Linked DNA regions of Arabidopsis thaliana. The protein of the gene in region 3 interacts with the protein of the main gene of each other region in a pairwise test. Each region holds a gene or a part of one and is shown on either strand. Other genes may lie near its edges. The genes, in order: BSH, FCA and SWI3A.

Region 1 (6,912 bases), on a different chromosome or scaffold from region 3:
GAAAACAATCGCAACACCATTCAAGAAAGCGGCAACATTCTTCAACCAACCTCAACAATCACCAAAGAAGGGTTGCCGTGGAAGAATGGATGCGCAAGCCAGGGAAGAGCACGAGAAGAGAATGGTTCAAGAGCTTCAAGGAGAAGTCATGGCTTGTGGTTACGACGACGTCCTCGTCATGTGGTCTATTCTTGACAAATCTAACTCCTCAAATAACCTCTCTTCTTAACCCCAAAACCAAACACAAAGAAAAAACGGTTTCATGATCAAACATTTTGTACATATCTTAAAAGCGGTATTAGCCCACCACAACCATCTCCTCCTCTTCTTCTTCTTCCTCCTTATCCTTTTTTTTTAAGGTCTAGTGAATATTTTTTCCGGCGAGATATCGTCGAGAATTTTAGATGGTACTGTCTTCCCCTTTGATAATCCCTGAAGAGTAAATCACGGTGGGAATGTTTTTTTGTATTTGGAGAAAAAATGTCTTTCTTGAATTCACATATCATTTGTATGAGATGATTAGCATTATTTTGAATGAGAATTCAAGTTATTAGTTCTCCATAATGTAAAGTCAGGTATTGACTTAAGTTGCACATGTCATAAATTATCAATCAGAAGGAAAAAAAAAAAAAACCATTATTGAGTTCATTACCTATGATGTGTTCCAATGTAACAGTACAATAACTCGAGCCACCGACCATTAATTTTGTTTGGACCAACTAAAATGATTCTAACAAATTGTAAACTACATAATGATAAGTAAATAGAATTATTTCTTTTCTTTTCTCTTAGAAGAACTTAGAAGTTAGTGATAATTTGCACTTTTGGTAACGGTCTAATATTGTCTCAATGTACACAATCTATCGACTGAGTTGACGTTCCTAACTTCGGACAGACATAAAGAGTACAGGCTTTATGCTCATTAGTCATTACTCTTCTCAGTCAATAAAAAACAATTTCGTCTCTCAAGTAGACCCAAATCCTTTTATAGCCACAAAGAGAATAACAAACATTTGTAACTTGCAACCTTGATTAGAGCTGGACAACTACATCTTTTTTTGGTTTGATTTCGGTTAGATTCAGTTTATGTAAACAAATGGATCTTTTTTTAACTTTTGGTCATTTAGAGAAGTATATAAGTTGAAACTCAAAGTATAACATAGTTTTCTTCAATTTCAGTTAGGTTGATTGCTATATTGGTGTCGAATATTAAAACCAGCTTCAAATTTTTAACTTATTCATCAAATTGATTCTATAATAAAGACTCAGCCGATTCAAGACATTAACTTGTTTATCCATGTAACCTTCAAAGGATAGGGCACAAGTACAACTCATAAATGTACACAACCAAAAACTGATCAATAATCTCTACACAAAATTACAAAACTTCCAACAAAAATAAACCCAATAATTTTTATTTTCGCATATTAATTAATTTAGATGACAGCAGCTTGAGCTTAGAGAGGGACCCAATCATTGAATCAAGAAAAAGAGAAAAAAAAAAGGGCAAAGAGAAGAGAATAGAAGAAAAAGTACGACCGTATATCGACAGTGAGGTTAATGGTTGATGATGAGATCTTATTAAAGTCTCAAGTGGGTCACTTGATTCTCACAACGTGTCTTGTCCTTTGAATCTCCTTCATTTTTCTTTCTTTCTTTCATTACTATATTTTTTTTAATCCTCTAACTCTCTCTCTAACATTCTTTAACATGCTCAAAGTTTGGGAAACATCTTAATCAAAGAGTGAAGAAATGGTTTCACTCAACTCTGCAAACCTAACATGTCCCATTGAGGTTATATCATCTAAAGATTCTTCATTCCACACCCACTGGTGTTTCACCTAACCAGGTTTACTAAACCGAAATCTCATACTTAGGCCAGGGCACTCATACACACCGGATGCATCTTAAGGATTATGTGTCTCATAAAAGATTGTCTTAATATCATTAACTCAAGTTAAGCATGATACAACATATTTTGAGTGTTGCCCTAAGAAATATTTATACATGTAAACGAAACTCTTCACCTTGCATGTCTCTCTTCCCTGGCTTCAAGCGCATCAACTTCCTCACTTGTTAGCAGATCCACAACTGGTTCATAAACATCCAAGTCTTTCCTTTTCCTGTCAAGATCATGGACAAAATTTGTTATTTTTGGATTCTGTTATAGCTTTTGCTTGGTCTTGCAAGTCAAATTTGTTCGTGTCCATAAATCTTATTTTTTGAAAAACTCCCATTTAGTGATAAGCAATGCAGGAAGAGAACTTCTTCAATTTCCACAGAGTTTATTTTGTAATCAAACAATTTCCAACCTAGTGATTCGGTTTTCTATGTTCAATAACAACATGTAACATCACCAGAAATTACTATTAGAACAATCTCAGTAGGGACCAGCTCCAAATATTGGGATAATCTACTATCAAATGATATAATGCATGAAGAGGTGGCATTCAAGAGTATGTGTAAGAAAAACGCTCAGGATGTGTCGCAAAGTTAACTTATCTTATAAACGATCTAGCTGCTAGAAGTCAGTCGTCCAACAGATCTTAAGAAGACAATGCAACAGAGAAAATGTATGCATTAAGTGGGTAAGAAAATCACTTACCGAACTACACTGGACTTAAAACTGAATAACTTCATTAAGTCCATTGACAGGCCACTTGCCTTGCTGCACATATAAGATGGAAAGTTATTTTAGAATTTTTTGAGCTAGGCTCTAATATTACCACAAGGTAACTTGGATAGACAAATAGGGGCAACGTGAACATACCTCGCTGAACCATGATCAGATCCTCTGCGGCCTTTCTTGCTTAATCTACTCTCCCTAGCTGAAGCCACACTTTGAATTGCAATCTGGCAAGCAAAAACAACGACATGGTAACTCAGTAAGTTTGGCATTCTTGTTCAAAATAGAAAACATATATAGAGTATACAGAAATACAGAGAGAGTAGCTTAAAGTTACAATCAAAGTTTTAACCTCGTAAAGTTGTTCCCTTATTGCAAAGGCAACAGCAGGCTTCAGAGAGAAGGAGAAACCAAAAATCACTTGTATCAAACGTTTGAAACTTAGGTTCATTAGTTCAGATAATGAAATGTAAAAAATTGAGTGGTTATCTTACTCCAACTTCAGGGTCTTCAACACCTAAATCCTTGCACAAGGTTCTTGCAAATTCCTCAGGATCACTCTCAAAATTGTTTAGGTCCTGCAAAACGGCAATCAAGCTGCACTGAGAAAAAGAGTACAAACAATAGTTGAAATTGTTCAAAATCACCAAGTATTCTCACCCATAAGAACTGATCCTTGATGAGAGTATGGTTAACTCGGAGATCAAGCTGGCACAAAAAAGAAAGAAAGATAGCTTATCAGCTTCTAGAACTTCTTTTTTTCCAACAAATCACTCATGGACAAAAGAGAGAGGGATAAGGATATCTAGCGTCATAAAACCTTAATTGGTATGATTTTTTCACCAGTGTACATGTCTTGTCCTTCATAAGCCCGAAAGTCTGAGAGCTGAGACTGATAAAGCAGGAAGTTGACCAATGTAAGTAGAGATTTCTGAAGAAATTATTCCAATACTTACAAAAACAGAACAGAACATAACTGAAGCAAGAGTACATTCATCACAAAAGCACAGTCTTACAGATATACATCCCAAAGTACAATGCTATAAACAGGCCTCTTCTCGAGTAAAAAAACCTAAAGAGTTAAAAACAATAAGTCGAAAGTGTGATTGGTTTAAGACTAATAGGTGACCTTAAATTTAAGCTCATCTCTATGACAAGCAAAAGAACTAACAACAAAATCAGAGCAGAAGAAAAACTAAAGATAGGTCAGTGTGAACTAGTTTAGAAACAACCTGAATAGATTGGGCAATCTGAGTGACAAATGCATAGGGAAGTTTCAAGTCTTTAACAGTTCTTTTGGCAAAGATAACGACTTCATTATCCGGGTCTGTATCCAAAACCAAAAACAAGAATCAGTGAATCACATACACTGCTACTGTAATAAGATGCGAGAAGATGGAAAACAAAAAAAAAGGTAGGGTTTTTAAGAGAGAAACCTGAAGGGTTCCAAGTGAAAGCATCTTTGTAACGCTGACCTTCGAATTGAATGTCCAATCGAATAGGTACCAAGTTTTCAGCAGTGGGCCTATAGCTCCGATTACAAATCGATTCATCAGAAAAAACAAAAACACATGAACTCGATTTCGATTTCAAAACAAACAAAGTAGAGGAAGCGACGAAACTTACATCCTGAACTTGACGGGACCTTTCCAACCAGTAGACACTAAACCCTTCATCCTTAAACCCCCAAATTTCACAAATTGAGTTTCGAAGAGAGTCAGCGAGAGAGTGTGGGAAATTTCAATTTCTCGATCTTTTTCCGGCGCTAGCTTAATTTATTTCAGAATCACCCTTATATTCTAATGTCTTTACACATTTCACCTCTAATTTGGAATTTTCCCATTTTGGGACGAATTATCTGGATCCGATCCTACGATCAATTGCAGCATTTGGGCTTTAAACGAGCTTGTTAGTCATTTAGTGGGCTTTAAATGGGCTCAACATTAAAATTGTACATTGGTGACAACCAACGAGACGGCTGCCGGCAGATCAAAGAGAATCATTCTCTTCCTGACAACGTTCCTCTATTCCATGTTCGTGCTCCCCATAACAACGTTCGTGTACTTTTTTCCTAGTCATGTAACACATTCGAAGAAACACACGATTACAAACATATAAAAAATCTTTGCATTATTATTATTCAGAACAAAAAAGAGAAGTCTTGGATATTGTGATTTATTTATAAGAAAAAACACACTCAAAGGTGTCATATAAATAAATATATGCATCAATCAATTCTCCAACTTCTTCAAGGCCTTTGTTGCAATATGCAGCAATAGCTCCGTCCCGCCTCAAGTCTCTTCATCAATGCCTAAATCTTACACGTCTCGTAACTGCGCAATCACAGCCTTGACCGATCCAAGTTTTAATACCTCTCCGGTCTCGTGATCTTTAGTCTTCTCACGGTTTCAAGAAACATACTAAACAAAAACATCGATTTCAAAAATTAGAGAATAGCTATAACCGAGGAAATTATACCAATGTAAGATCAAGATATAAGATTCATACTCCCATGGAATATCTCCGACCATCATCCAATCTCCATCCTTGTCTTCATATGTCAAAACATGATGTTTTCGATCTCGATTACCGCCTGTTATAGCCAAGACAATGCATGGATATACTTCAAACTGTTTGAATTTAGTTGAATGTTGTTTTTACGGAATTATGTGTTGTTCATTAATTACTTACAGATGATTGAAGTATCGAACATGTGAGAGAGATTTTCTAATAGACTCTCGTAGCCTGAGAATACGCAAAGGTCGAGTTTTCTTCCAATGGGAACACCTTCCATATAAACCTTAACAAAGAGAGAAGTGTCATCACCACGACGAAGAAGACGACGACCCTTTAGTGTATCTCTTAATCTAGACTTTATCGGTGGCCAATCTTGTCTTGCTTCTCTACAAAAAAATAAAGATTTAAAACACAAATGTGAACAAAAGAAAACAGAGCAAAAACAGAACATAGGAAAAAACAGAGAAGTGATGTGAATAAGACCTTTGTGGAGAAGTAGAAGGAAATGTGAGACTAAGGGAGAGATTAACAGAAGATTCAGAAGGAGAAGGTTTAGTACTGTCGACAGAGGATGAAGAAAATGAAGAACAAGAGTTAGAGACCTCCATTAATGAGACCTTGAAGCTGCAGAGCTAGCTTCATGCTTCCTTCTCTTCTCTATTGAGAGTGCTCTTCATGTCTCTCTCTCTCTATTTCTATTTCTCTCTGTCTAGTTAAACAAAAAAGGACTAGTAGGTGATTCTATTGCATAGATTTTGAATTTAAAAATTGATTTAATCGACTTTGAAATTTAATATAAATAAATAATAGGAACATAAGGTTCCCCACATTTAACTATGAACTTTCAACCTTCTAAATATGAACACACATTGATTTCTGAAAACCACTGTAATAATTACCCGATTAGATACTTAATTCATGGGTTTAGATCTTTGGAGTTAGTTAGTAGTAAAAATGTGAAATTATGGTTTTGAGATTTGTTTACATGTAAGATTCGAAGTTTCCGTAAAAAGGTGGTATCCAAGGAAAGTGTGTCTAAATGATGTTGGAGTTAATCTGTTAAGGCTTTGATTTTAATTTCTCAACTGCTCAGATTCTTTAATTAGGAGAGATAAGGGCCAAAAAAGGCTTTATTGTCTAGCCGTAAACAGAAACAGAGCATCACATCACTTTCACTTTCTTACACATCAATATTTGAAAGAAAAAAACTGAGTCTATAGACTATGAACTTGGGGGATCAATTTTTTAGACCCTTCTGTTGATAAGAAAACTCAATTGTCTCTTATGACACATTAATGTAACAGACCATTGAAAATTGCAGAACCAATAAAAATAAGGTAGACTTGAAGAGTTTTGTGTATATTGTTTTTGTGGAGCAGACAGTGTTCTTTTCTTTAACTATACGTTTCCTGTTAATGTCTCTTTAGCTTTGTGGATTGTCTCTCTTAGAAGCCCAAATCTTTTACTCTTTTTTGAAAATCAAAATAGAATTCGTTGATTTATGATAACTTCAAAATATAAAGTAGACATAAATTGTTACATCACATAATGCTCATTGGCTGTATTGATAATAATATTAGATTCTAGAATCATCATGGGAAGTGCACTCTAATAGTTACTTTGTAATAAAGCCTACCTTGGATGTTGGATCGATAAGACTCCTATTAGCTATTATACGATCTGTCTTTGGACATGCATGTCTGGTCTCTAGGGATCCTTCTTGTTAGAATTTCGATATATATAACTTTATAATGTCTAGTAGTCTAATG
Region 2 (6,550 bases), on a different chromosome or scaffold from region 3:
TAGGGTGCCTTCAGAAGAAGAGAACTATATCACTTGATAGTAAGGCAAAGAAAACAGGGAAAGAAAAGGATCAACATCCATAAAGTTCATATCATTTCCCACATTTTCTTAATTTTTGTAATCTGAACTTATGCAGCGTATGGTCTTGGCTATGAACACTAGACAATGACAGCCACATTAGATACTCTGTGTGGAAGTTGATTACCTATGCGTTCTCTCTCCCCGTCAGCATATCGAACTTGAACAGGACCAGTTCCCTGGGAATCAACAAAATTATAAAAGGTGAAACAACCTATAGTTTCCTGTTCTTGATAAGAGAAAGCCTCAGGGTAATTACCCCAGGAAGAGTGATCTGATTGTGCAGTGCTCTGATGGCTCTATCCGCATCTTTCGAAGTTGCATATTTTACAAAACAACAGCCTGCATTAAAGACTGATACTTAAGCTATCTGTTTCAGGGTTCAACTTTTCCTTCTACCATCAAATTGTACTAGTAACAAGATGTACTACTCAAAGCACATAAGTTCAGTAGGAAAATCATAAGACATGTCTGACAGCCTCCACTTAAATATTGATGTAAAGTTGTTGGAGAGAATAAATTAATGTCTTCAAATGGAGAATATGGCAAAAACAAATATTAAAAAATTGAACACAGTCAGTATCTGCAGATAACATATCTACAAGAGGGCCTTTCAGACAAAGGGTGGCTGCATTTGTCCAAGCAGGATCCATTTGAAAGAAAATCTAGAAACATGTACAAGTTAATTAGCAACATAAAACATAACTATAGGTCCAAAGTAACGGATTCAGTATGTAAGAATCTCAATAATTGATGAGTAGCGGATAATCAAAACCAAAACATATACACATTTTCGTCACCATACATCAAGCATTTGAAGACTTCAAATAAAGAACTACAGTTATGGGCAAGATAACTCATTGGAAAAAAATCTAATTCAGAAAAGAATACGATTGCTTCATGTAATACATAATTAGGCCCCTGCCTGATGCTGATTGATCAAGGGCAAGAGAGTGAAGTCAACATGCTGTATTAACATCAGAAACTATTCTAAGAAACTAAAACAATCAGGTTCCTTCCATATGTTTGCACCACCTAACATAATAATATTTCACAAGGCTGAAGAAAGAGTTGTATGGAATCTAGTACATTCAACCGCGATCAAAAGTGTTTATGTCACCACAATCAGATGCATTTGTTCTGCCATCCACAAAGGTGTAGCAGTTATAGAAATAATAACTTCTTGGAAAGTCAAGAATTTATAAATAACTATGCACGTACAAACACACCATTCATCGTCTAGTATTTCTTCACACTGACAAAATAGAGACAGAACTAAATGGAGTAGTAGAACAGGAAATTCAATAATAAAATAACAGTTGCACCTTGCAAGCACAAAGGCTTGATTAGCGAAAAGGGAGCATACAAAAAAAATCTATCATCAAACATTTCTTCCACATAAATATCGATCAGCACTGCAAGGGCCACCATACAGACATAAGAGCTACTCAACAAAATATTCATTCATCTATGACGAGAGATGGTATATCACATCACAAGCCATCCAAGGAATAGAGACGTGGGAACATACAAAATACATACATAAGAACTACTAAACAAATCATTCATTCACCTATGACGAGAGATGGTATATCACATCACAAGCCATCCAAGAAATTGAGAGGGACGACCATACAGAAAGCACACATTTCAGGCCATTCAAAGAGAGTGGAAAGAAATATAGCCATCATAGTTCCTCAGGCCATCAACAAAAGAAAAGGAGAAACGCATTCATTCCAGCATCACTCATCCAAAAAGGTAAAAGGAATGCCATCATTAACCAATAGACAGCACACCCATAAATTGATATGAAAGAAAATGAAGACGCCAAACCTCCAACATGATAAAATTAGAAAGACGGCCAAATCTTTGACCAGCAGGAGTGGCAAATCAAGAAACCATCTTTTGAACCTCATGTCCTTATCAAACTACCAACTTAAAAAAATACATTCATCCTGTCAAGACCATACACAACATCTTCAATCCATCTAGAGGAAGAGTAAAGAAAATGAATTTCAATAGGAGAGGAAAATAGCGATGTTCTTATAACCAATTCCCACTATAAAGGCAACAGCAAAATTCAGTTCTCTGTACATTAACTCCAACTCTAAAACACCCTCAATAAATTCTACACTTTTCAAACACATCTAAAGTTCTAGAATACACACAAGTAGCGAAATCTATTTGCCCAACATAAGTACATAAACCCTTTCTTAGCACAGGTAGCCTTCTTCTGTGACAGAATCGAACACAGATAAGACGCTGGCAAGCATAAGCAATAAGCCCGAAAATTGTTGCAAACAATTGGAGGCCAATGATGAGACTGGGGTTGCTTCCCATCAGCCTTTTCAGGGAGACCTGAAATTTTAAAAAGTATAATTCACGACTATTTCCTAATAAAATGGAGATTGACATACCTTGCTGCTGTCCAGTTCTCTTGTCCTTGATCAGAGCAACCTCCAGAACATTTCCATGCTGTTCGAAATAGGGACGGATCTACAATATGAAAACCAACAGAAAAAATTTAGAAAAGGTTCTCAGTAATGAGTATATAGATAACAATGATTTCCAAGATTAACTCACTTCTTCTTCTGTAGCTGTCCTTGGTACAGATCCAACAAAAAGCTTGACTGTACTGCTACGATCAGAGACATCTGCAAATCAAATTAACCAGATAAGGATACACATGAAGATGGCATATAGTTTTGATTATCACATACATGGGAAAATCGAAAGGATCCTCTAGAGTCGATCCCATGAAAAACCTTCAACAATACAGTAACATAACAACCATACTACCTTTCAATACTCTAATCATTGATTCCCACAAAAATAAGAGACACTCAGGAACCTTAACAGACTACAAGAATAAATATACATAGAAGAAAGAAGAGTGAACTCATGCTTACCAGTTCCAGTAAAGCTGCCATGGTCTGAGATAGGATACCCTCTTTTCTGACCGGAAAGAGGCTGCTGGACCGGCGGTGTAGTCGGTCTTACAGAATAATCAGACTCCATTGCTTTACCGATAAATCTCCTCCTGTCTGGACTCTCTGAAGGAGGATACTTCGCGGGATAGTTATACCGAGCTCCAACAATTGACCGTGTCCCTTCTCCTCCCACACCACCGTTAGGACCCATTGGACGAAAACCATCATCGTAGGCAAACCCCATAGGCCGAAAACTTCCACCATGGTGAGGACCCATAGGCTTAAAATCTACTCTATCTGGGGGACCATTCATCTGCCGGAAACCTCCATCTCCGGGACCATCAAAATCCTTAGGAGTGTCATCTTCCCAGCGTCGACCACCATTACCTCCTCCTCCGCCCCCAATTCCAATTCGATAATTGCTAGGGCTGCTTCCACGACGACGACGGTGGCGGCGAAAATCATCATCATCCTCTTCGAAGCGTGAATCTGAGGGACGAGATGGACCTCTGGGATGGGCTCGGTGGTTATGGTAGGAATCCTCGTAGCCGCCACTCTCATGGCGATCCCTTCGGTGTCTGTCCAGCTTGACGTAGTGGGGAATTGCGATTCCAGTCGAAGAAATCAAAGGACTAGGAGCCCTAGAAATTTGGGATCTGTATGAAACCAAAGAGAGAAGAAACGAGTATCGAAGATGATGAATTTGATTGAAGATGAGATCAATTTAGTTGCTCGAAATTTTGATTTTTTTGTCCGAATGTAAAAAAGAAAAAGCGGTCTAGTTACGGTAATAGTGGTTGGACCGGTGATTCAGTTGAAATTTGGACCGGTAGACTTTATTGAGTCTTGGCTGATAACGAAAAATACAGCTACTTGGGCCATCAATATATTTATATACTGCCAAAAGGGGGATACAATTGTTCCAATGAGTTTTCGTTAACAAAAGGAAAAAAATTGACATTTCAGGTAACTCTCACATTCTTAAGTCCAATCCAAAATTCTCATGTCAACTATATGCTTCAGAAACATTTTGATATAGTACATGCATTTCATGGCGTTTATTAAATCATGTGTTGGGTGATCAATAATATAAAGTTCTAAGTAATGCAAAATACTTGCATCACTATATGAATTTAGAGGATATATGACTAGGTCTGAACTACCTTTTACCTAAAATAATCAAATGAATATTTACTGTTCGTCTCCTTCATCATGAGTCACTAGATTCATGAGTCAATAATCAATGGCTTTGTCTTGAGTCAAGTTAATCGTTTAACAGGTTTTTAATGGTTTGAAAGCAAAAAGAAATCTTACCAATATATATAAGTGTAAAATGTAATCTCTATATATCACAAACACAATATTGTTATTTAATCTATGATCTTATTATCTCAGAAAATTAATCTAATAATTAAATGACCTATAAATAAAGAACTAAAACAAAAAATCTATCATTGATGAAAAATACACAAAATAAGAGAGAAAGTTAAAACAAATGTTTTTTATTATTTCAATTTTTTTTTTGCCAAAAACAACAAGATACATGTACTAAAAAATTACCAAAAAGCAAAAATATGGCTTCACCATCCAACTTCCCATTTTCTTGACAATACATCTTCACCGCTCGCTGAATTCCAAAGATAAAGGCCATCAGTTTTTGCAGTCCAAATGCAATTCTTCCAACCGCATCTATGGAACAAGATAACATCATCCCAAAACACGTTTACATTCATATGACCATTATCTTTGTTCATATAGCACCAAAAAAAAGTTGAGTGAAGCATATTTTCTCCGAAGTTCCAAGAAAATCTATTTCTAAACTTCAGATTAATTTCACCTAGATCATCTTCTTTAGATTTACAATGGATGAAAAGAGTTTCACCAGTTGTCAAACCGTTAACAACCGTGACTTGCCACTCAGAAATCTTCGGGACTATAATGTCTCTCGTGGTGGTGCCGCCGACTAAGACATGGTCTTGACATGTTAGGGCCAGAGAAAAGCAAATTGCCAAGAGAAATTGTTTGATGCAATTCATACTTTTTTCAGGCAAGCAAAATCTTTAGGGAGAACTTTTTTGTTACTTCTTTTTATAATGGAAGAGTGAAACGGTAATTGACGTTTAATTAAATTTTGATGTTATTACATTGCATTAATGAAGAGTCATGCTGCAAATCATTTAAGTGATTGCATGTTAATTAGAAATGAAGCTGAAAGGTTAGTACATATAATAATCCAAGTACGTAGATGATTGTGGCATAATATATTAAGATTAAAAAATACTAATTTATATTGTGGTGTAAGCTATTAGTTTTGAATTTATTATGTGAATCAATTTTAAAAGTTATTAGTTTTTAGATTTAGATTATGACCCAAGAATTCGAAGTATATAATCGAAAAATTTAATGTATAAAAATAATAATTCAACATGGTCGATCGGGTATTTATTTCTAGTAAAATAGTATTTCATAAACCTAATTTTAGTTAACTATATAAATTATAACACTAGTAAAGTATTCTGCCTTTTACGTTACTTTATTGGGATTAATAAAAATATATTGGATTCGTTGAAATCCAATAACAAATTGTAATTTTGATCTTTGATTCATAGAAACAAAAAGTTACGAAATTAAAGAAATTTTTAAACAAAAGAGTACTCGACCAGAAAAATATGTTTTTTTTTCTATTTTCTCACTCATATTTTTCAGATAGAGAAAGCAATTTTCAGTACACCGAAATTAAAATCCGACGACTAAAAATAGTTTCTTCTCTCTCTCAAATCCTTCTGAGAGGAGAGGTTTCTTGTCGATGGAGTTTGATTTCGGTTTTGTCTGGAATTTTATATATTTTCGTGTATATACAAACAAAATAACTGCCGACCTTTTATCGGATTTCCGTTATTAGCTTTGTTCGATTTATCAAAATTTTATATACTTTTGTGTATATACGCTCTAGCGAAATTGATCTCTCTTCCATCTGTGTCCGTTGATGTCTCCGTTTTTCTTCTAAATCTTATACGATCTCTCCAATTTTTTCGAGGAGTAACATCTTTGTCACTTCCTTTTGCTAAGTTCATACTACATCAAGTTAGGTGTATATAGTGGTGGAGTTTCCTCGGAGTTTGGTGTTGTTCGAAGAATTTCGAACAATCTCTTTCAATAGATCTAGAGATTAATTGACGGTTGGTTTGGAACTGAGATCGTTAGAAAGGAGGAAGTTTCTCAAAATGACTTCATTAAGCAAATGCTTTTTCTTTGCATTCTTGTGTTTCATTGCTCTCTTGACTCCATGAATGGCAAAATTAAATTACCTAGGTGATTATTTACGCTATCCTACAGATATTTTCGATTTTTTTTGTTTTGTTTTGTTTTATTAAATATTATGTTTTGATAAATTTAGTTTCTAATTTACTAAGCACTCACTCATCCATTCAACAAATTCAACAAGTATTCTTATTTCTTAGTGTCAAAGTACTTTTCTTATCAACCTTATCAACAATGTATCACACTCACACTCTTCAGAAATAAATTTCTATCCTAAACCA
Region 3 (6,746 bases):
ACTTTTCAATTATTTTCATTTATTAATTTTAACTCATTTAATATTAATTTGCATGATGTAAAATTAACTTACGAGATTACGTGGGTGATTGGTTTGTCTGTAACTGTAGATTTACTGCTGTAGAATTTTTGTTGTAGGTGTGATGACTGTAGCTGTAAGTTTTATTGCTGTAGAAATTAGACTGTAGGTTTTATTAATATAATTATTACTTAAAGAAATTGGGTAGAAATAAGATTTTGGTTGTATGTATTTTTAAACAAAAAAATATTATCGGGTCGGGTTCGGTTTGGGTTCGGGTTCGGGTTCGAGTTATTTATATATTGAAATATCAAATTTTGTGTGCAAATCTATTAAATTACTTGAAATTTTCAAAAATTCCCAAAACAACATGAGTAGTTTTGCTTGAATATATCTAAAAATACACAAAAATAACTAAAATATCCAAAAAAATTCTAATATTTTCTATATATAAGTATAAATATAACTAATATATACTTATATTTGAGATATGTTTGCATACCTATTCGGGTTTGGGTTTGAGTTTTTCGGGTTTTAAAGTTTATATCCGTTCGAGTATTTGAAAATTTCGGGTACACCCGCCTAAATAGGCGGACCTTATCTAGTATATATATACATTTGAACTATATTGTTTACTTTTTAGTTGATTTAGGCTATGTATGACATTGACATAAATCTACCTGTTATTTATCACGTGTAATTCGTGTAAAGTGTAAACTAGAAAGTTCAAATACGTATTTGTTTTTGTTCTGTTATATAGGATTGTCATAGTTGTAAATCTACAATTTATTACAACATGAATAAGTACACAAGCAATGTAATTGGATTTAATTGCTAAACTCTTTACATGGTCAATCTAAATTTGATAAGAAATACGTCACATATTACTAAGACTGATAGTTTTTTTGTTGTCACCAATTATTTTTGTTAAATTGACGAAAACAATTCCAAAAACTCAAATGTACAAAATCATACAGTCTCACAAACATCTCATAGAGAAAGATATAAATCTCCCATATGGGAACGATAACACGAGGTCGAAATACTATTCGTAAAACTAAAACGCCTTAGTTATAAATCGTTAGTTGTAACCGCGGTCGAGAATACATACAGATCCACGAAACTACTACTACACATGCTGCTGAATTGGAATTTGGAAAAGACCATCTTCTTTAGGAAGAGCTCACCCAATGAGTGACAAAGGTGTCGGTGGCTTGTTTTCTACCCATATGTATACATCAAATGGTAGTTTCATTAACGTTTGGTTTTGAGAAAAGTAAGACTTTGGCTAGTAGCTAGGTTCGTATATAATAAACTCTTTTGAGAAAGTTCATCACTGGTGGAAAATGTTAAACCGGTTTTTTCTCATTTTTTCCGCCATGTTAACCACCGGTTTAAAAAGACCGTAACACATTGAAAGATTAATAAGGGTATATTTGTAATTACGGTTTGCTGGCAATTTTTAATTATTATTTTAATTAGAGAAAATAGAGAAGCCCTATCAATGTACATGGTATATATATAAAAGGCAAAACCCTAGAAAACGATACTCTTCGACTCAGCCGTCCTTTCGCAGAAACCATTTGGAGTTGGAGCTTTGGACGACGACAATGGTATCATCTCTCTTCCTTCCATCTTCATTTCGTTTCATTTGGGATCTGTTAGTTGTTTGCTTTCATAGTAGAATCATCGAATTAGATCCTTCACGATAGAGTTAGTGTTTCCTGGATGCATTCTCGCTTGAAGATGAACACACATGGGTTTCGATTTCCTCTCGGTGGTAACACCATCATTGCTTATCTGCTTTGGATTTAGCTTTTGATAGATTTGGTAGTTGATATAGCTTATGAATCCATCTAGAAATTTGCGTAGAGAGCAATGTCACAAATGTTCTGTGGTTACTTTATCAATCTAATCACGCCACGATTTGGTTTTAGGCCCCGAAGAAAGGAGTGAAGGTAGCTGCTAAGAAGAAGACCGCGGTATGTTTCATTTCCAATTCTCTTCTTCTTTTTTAGGTTTTCGAACATTCAATTTGTTCTTTGTTGTTGTTTTTTTCTTTCTTGCTGAAGTTTTGTGTTTTGATTTCTGATTTCTCCAGGAGAAAGTTTCAAACCCTCTATTCGAGAGGAGGCCTAAGCAATTCGGTATTGGTGGAGCTTTACCTCCTAAGAAGGATCTCTCTCGCTACATCAAATGGCCCAAATCCATCCGTCTTCAAAGGCAAAAGAGGATCCTGAAGCAGAGGTTGAAGGTCCCTCCAGCTCTTAACCAATTCACCAAGACTCTTGACAAGAATCTTGGTATGTCTATTTCATTCTCAATCTACTCTTCAAACATTTACTACTTGCTGCTGTTAATTTATTATTGAAATATTTACCAGTTCTGGTAAATCTTGTGTTGCTGTAACCTTATAAGAAGACTTCGGTGCCTTATTTATATTCGTTATTGATAATTGCAGCTACCAGCCTCTTCAAGGTCCTTCTGAAGTACAGGCCAGAAGACAAAGCTGCCAAGAAGGAGCGTCTTGTAAAGAAGGCCCAAGCTGAAGCTGAGGGAAAGCCTTCTGAGTCTAAGAAGCCCATTGTAGTCAAATACGGCCTCAACCATGTGACCTACCTCATTGAGCAGAACAAGGCCCAACTTGTTGTTATTGCTCATGATGTCGACCCAATTGAGTTGGTTGTCTGGTTGCCTGCTCTGTGCAGGAAGATGGAAGTCCCGTACTGCATTGTCAAGGGCAAATCTCGTCTTGGAGCGGTATGTGTTGTGGGTGATTTCTCTCTAGTTTATAGCCACTAGCATGGAGAGTTAATCTTTATTTCTTTCTCTGACTTTCAGGTTGTTCACCAGAAGACTGCTTCTTGCTTGTGTTTGACCACTGTCAAGAACGAGGACAAGCTAGAGTTCAGCAAAATCCTGGAAGCTATCAAGGTAAATACTTCTTGTGACCAATAGAATGGTAGATTGTGTGAAACATATTGTTGGAGATTCTTATGATTGTGTTTTTGGGTTTTTGTCTATAGGCCAACTTCAATGACAAGTACGAGGAGTACAGGAAGAAATGGGGAGGAGGCATAATGGGATCTAAGTCTCAGGCAAAGACCAAGGCAAAGGAAAGAGTTATTGCAAAGGAGGCTGCCCAAAGGATGAATTAAGAGGCTAGCTTCTTTTGTTTGTGGTTTGCTCGGATTCGTAAAACTTAATAGAGCTTTTTGTTTAGCTGGTTCTTGAAGTACCTCTTTTTTAGTTGAACCCTTTATTATGGATGTTTTGCAATTTCTTGGGACAGTTTCAATGTTATTCAAGCTGCTGGATCCTCTTTGGTCTCTCAACCACTTAAAACTTGACAGTGTGAAATTTTAGCCAAATGCTTATTGCATTCTGGAAAGAGTTATAAGTTTAATTCTCAAATTCTTTTACAGTTCATCTCATAATGATGTGCGTAATTTTTGGTCTTTATGGTTCGATGTTGGAGCAACCATATCCCTAACAACTAGAGTTATATAAGTTCATTAAAATTTGTAGCTGAAGACCAAAAAGTTAATAGTAATAAGTGGGCTTGACGAAATAAAGTTAACAACAAGTGGGCTGATAACTAGATAACAAAGTGGGCTGATAAAATAAAGATTGGGCCCAGATTTTAAATTGAGTTTTATTATAATTGACCCAGCTTCGGGCAAGTTTTCGCTTTTGACCCTTAACTAATTATTCTCCGTGTGGTTTGGATTTGGCGATTGGCAATAGATTCATCAGAGGTTTTTGATATTGGAGGGAATCGGTAACGGGCATGGAAGCCACTGATCCAAGCGCAGAGATCGAGCTCTACACCATTCCTGCTCAATCCAGTATGTCTTCTCTTACCCTCGCCATGCTTTTAGATCTCTAGGGTTTCTTCTTCTACTCTTTTTACTCGCTCAACTGTTTCCGTCTCTTAGGTTTCTGCTTTCTATGGTTTGTTTTCTTTGCAATTGATTTGGGGATTTGTCTTGTTCTTTACAAGGTTGGTTCTTATGGGATGATATACACGAAATTGAAAGACGCGAGTTTGCGGAGTTCTTCACTGAGAGCTCAATCACTAGAACCCCCAAAGTTTACAAGGAGTACCGAGATTTCATTATCAATAAGTTTAGAGAGGACACTTGTCGGAGACTCACCTTCACCAGTGTCCGCAAGTTTCTTGTTGGCGATGTCAATTTGCTCCAGAAAGTTTTTCTCTTCCTCGAAAAATGGGGATTGATCAATTTTAGCTCTTCCCTGAAGAAAAATGACCATCTATTGTCCGTGGATAATGCTAAAATAGAACAAGGGACTCCTGCTGGAATTCGAGTTACTGCAACCCCTAATTCTCTTAGGCCTATAACCGCACCGCCCCTTGTTGAGGAAAGAGTTGAGACTGGCATCAAAGTACCACCGCTTACCTCTTATTCAGATGTTTTCAGTGATTTGAAGAAGCCGGATCATGTATTGGTTTGTGCGCATTGTGGAGAACGTTGCGATTCTCCTTTCTATCAACATAACAAGGTAGTTTTTTTTTGCTTTTTTTCGATTAGCATATTTCATACTCTCTAGTCTGTTTTGTTTATGCTTCTTTTTTTTTTGACATATGATGTTGGCAGGGTATAGTCAACATATGCGAAAAGTGTTTCAAGAATGGAAACTATGGGGAGAACAACACTGCAGATGATTTTAAGTTGATTGGGAATTCAGCTGCAGCTGTGTGGACAGAGGAAGAGATCCTCCTCTTGCTAGAATCTGTGCTGAAACATGGAGATGATTGGGAACTCATTTCACAAAGTGTTTCTACCAAGAGTAGACTAGATTGCATTTCTAAACTCATTGAGCTCCCGTTTGGAGAGTTTCTGATGGGTTCTGCTTCTGGAAGACTCAATCCCTCTATCCTCACCGAGGATGAAAACACGGAACAGGTGCAAACTGATGGGCAGGAACATGAGGAAACAGAGACAAGGGAAGAAAAAGAAGATCGCGTGAATGAAGATGAGCCTCCAGCAAAAAGGAAACGTGTTGCACTGATATCAGAGGGTGATAGTTCACTTATGAAACAGGTGAATGTTTGGTTAAACTATATGCCTTGTGTTCATTATTTTCCATATGAGTGTAACATTCGGGTTCTTCTCTGACCTTTAACCGTCGCAAAGAATGCCCTTTTTAACTCCACTGGAAAAGAATGTTCAAGAGATAACATGTTTACATATTGCACAACAGGTCGCTGCCATGGCAAGTAAAGTTGGTCCATCTGTCGCAACTGCTGCTGCAAAAGCTGCACTTGCAGCTCTTTGTGATGAAGCCTCATGTCCAAAAGAGATTTTTGACACTGATGACTACAGCAATTTCACAGTTGATAGGTTCGATTCTCTAAGCCCTCAATTTGCTTGTGGTTTGGCTTCTCATGTCCTACACTAATCTCAAGATACAAAACTTTGCTCACAGAGCCAATGGAGAGAAAGATACAGATATGGAGGAACAGCAAGAAGAGAAAGGTAAATTGTGTTGTGATTCAATCTGCATTCCTAGGTTTATAATGAAAGCTCAAGGCTTAAGATTTGGAATCGTTATATATTTGCAGACGGGCCTCAGGGTCTACCTGTAGCGTTAAGGATAAGAGCGTCTGTGGCAACAGCTCTAGGAGCTGCGGCTGCACAAGCGAAAATACTGGCTGATCAAGAAGAAAGAGAAATGGAACAGTTAGCTGCGACAGTAATAGAACAACAGGTTGGTTGTAACTTGTAACAACATTAAAACATTTGTGTCTGTTCCACTGTGTTTGTGTCTTGAACCGGACATGTTTTGCTTCTCTTTGTTGTACTCAGCTGAAGAAACTGCAGAGCAAGTTGAAGTTTCTAGACGACTTGGAATCGATAATGGATGAAGAAGAGAAAGTGATAGAGGGTGTAAAGGAAACAATCATCCAAGAGAGGGTTAGCGTTTTGCAATGCGCGTTTAGAAGCGGTATTACCAAACGTTGGGATCATACGTACGTGAAATGATCTTCTTCTTTCATTCGTACTTTTTTTTTCTCTTGGGGTAGAGTTGTTTTCTCATTCCTTATGGATTTGTTATGTTGACTTTTGAGGATTATATGTATTTAGTATTAATGTGTTTTATTGACTTAATGAGGAGAGTAGGTTTAGGTTACATACCTCTTTTGTCGATATGTCTGACCAATGGATGGGTCTCTCTACTAATTCACACGCGCCCAGTGTGACGTCAAATAAATAAAATTCCGAAAACATTTTCTGAGCTTTCCATAATTTGGAAAAAAGTGAATTGAAAAAAAGAACAGTGACACTCTTGTTTCTATAAATTGGTGAGACCGTCCTCAAAACCCCTTCGTCACCTTCAGTGTCTCTCTCTCAAGATCTAGCTCCGGTCATGAAGTCGTCGGAATTCCAATACCACGAGGTTCTCTCTCTCTCTCCCTCTCTCTGCTTAGAGATTTTAGATGTAGTAGTAATAGTTTAACAGGAGAGTGAAGATGTCAAGAGGTGTTGAGATGATTGATTAGATCTTTGAATAAACAAATATGTGTATGAATTGGTGACAGGAATACGTGAGAAATTCAAGAGGTGTAGAGTTGTTCGCATGTAGATGGATCCCATCTTCTTCGTCTTCTCCCAAAGCTCTGGTTTTCCTCTGCCATGGTTGCAGTTATTTCCTTATTATTTCTAAAAGCCGCTTTCTTCATTACACATAATAAAACTGAACAA

What was found.
Region 1: the proteins of SWI3A (region 3) and BSH interact in a two-hybrid assay, tested with the Arabidopsis thaliana proteins (one study listed by BioGRID).
Region 2: the proteins of SWI3A (region 3) and FCA interact in a two-hybrid assay, tested with the Arabidopsis thaliana proteins (one study listed by BioGRID).

What each region holds. Positions count from the first base shown.
Region 1 is NC_003074.8:6,015,290-6,022,201, forward strand, and holds BSH (transcription regulatory protein SNF5, putative (BSH)), read right to left. Parts: upstream 4,378-6,912; 5' UTR 4,303-4,377; coding exon 4,253-4,302; intron 4,158-4,252; coding exon 4,063-4,157; intron 3,954-4,062; coding exon 3,859-3,953; intron 3,519-3,858; coding exon 3,447-3,518; intron 3,335-3,446; coding exon 3,287-3,334; intron 3,205-3,286; coding exon 3,121-3,204; intron 3,018-3,120; coding exon 2,979-3,017; intron 2,854-2,978; coding exon 2,771-2,853; intron 2,669-2,770; coding exon 2,606-2,668; intron 2,124-2,605; coding exon 2,024-2,123; 3' UTR 1,923-2,023; downstream 1-1,922. Other genes in the region: AT3G17580 (SsrA-binding protein), read left to right, coding at 1-229; IAA31 (indole-3-acetic acid inducible 31), read right to left, coding at 4,992-5,046, 5,135-5,219, 5,318-5,529, 5,627-5,751. UniProt on the Arabidopsis thaliana protein: Component of a multiprotein complex equivalent of the yeast SWI/SNF complex, an ATP-dependent chromatin-remodeling complex, which is required for the positive and negative regulation of gene expression of a large number of genes.
Region 2 is NC_003075.7:9,211,092-9,217,641, forward strand, and holds the start of FCA (flowering time control protein FCA), read right to left. Parts: upstream 3,735-6,550; 5' UTR 3,322-3,734; coding exon 2,988-3,321; intron 2,733-2,987; coding exon 2,662-2,732; intron 2,575-2,661; coding exon 2,496-2,574; exon of another isoform or gene 421-2,495; coding exon 338-420; intron 258-337; coding exon 206-257; intron 9-205; coding exon 1-8. Other genes in the region: SPH1 (S-protein homologue 1), read right to left, coding at 4,589-5,044. UniProt on the Arabidopsis thaliana protein: Plays a major role in the promotion of the transition of the vegetative meristem to reproductive development. Plays a role in the regulation of flowering time in the autonomous flowering pathway by decreasing FLOWERING LOCUS C mRNA levels.
Region 3 is NC_003071.7:19,528,226-19,534,971, forward strand, and holds SWI3A (SWITCH/sucrose nonfermenting 3A), read left to right. Parts: upstream 1-3,721; 5' UTR 3,722-3,808; coding exon 3,809-3,866; intron 3,867-4,021; coding exon 4,022-4,542; intron 4,543-4,637; coding exon 4,638-5,084; intron 5,085-5,244; coding exon 5,245-5,384; coding exon of another isoform or gene 5,385-5,442; exon of another isoform or gene 5,443-5,469; coding exon 5,470-5,519; intron 5,520-5,605; coding exon 5,606-5,751; intron 5,752-5,849; coding exon 5,850-6,026; 3' UTR 6,027-6,246; downstream 6,247-6,746. Other genes in the region: AT2G47610 (Ribosomal protein L7Ae/L30e/S12e/Gadd45 family protein), read left to right, coding at 1,629-1,631, 1,956-2,000, 2,120-2,321, 2,480-2,778, 2,860-2,952, 3,045-3,176; AT2G47630 (alpha/beta-Hydrolases superfamily protein), read left to right, coding at 6,412-6,441, 6,584-6,680. UniProt on the Arabidopsis thaliana protein: Component of a multiprotein complex equivalent of the SWI/SNF complex, an ATP-dependent chromatin-remodeling complex, which is required for the positive and negative regulation of gene expression of a large number of genes.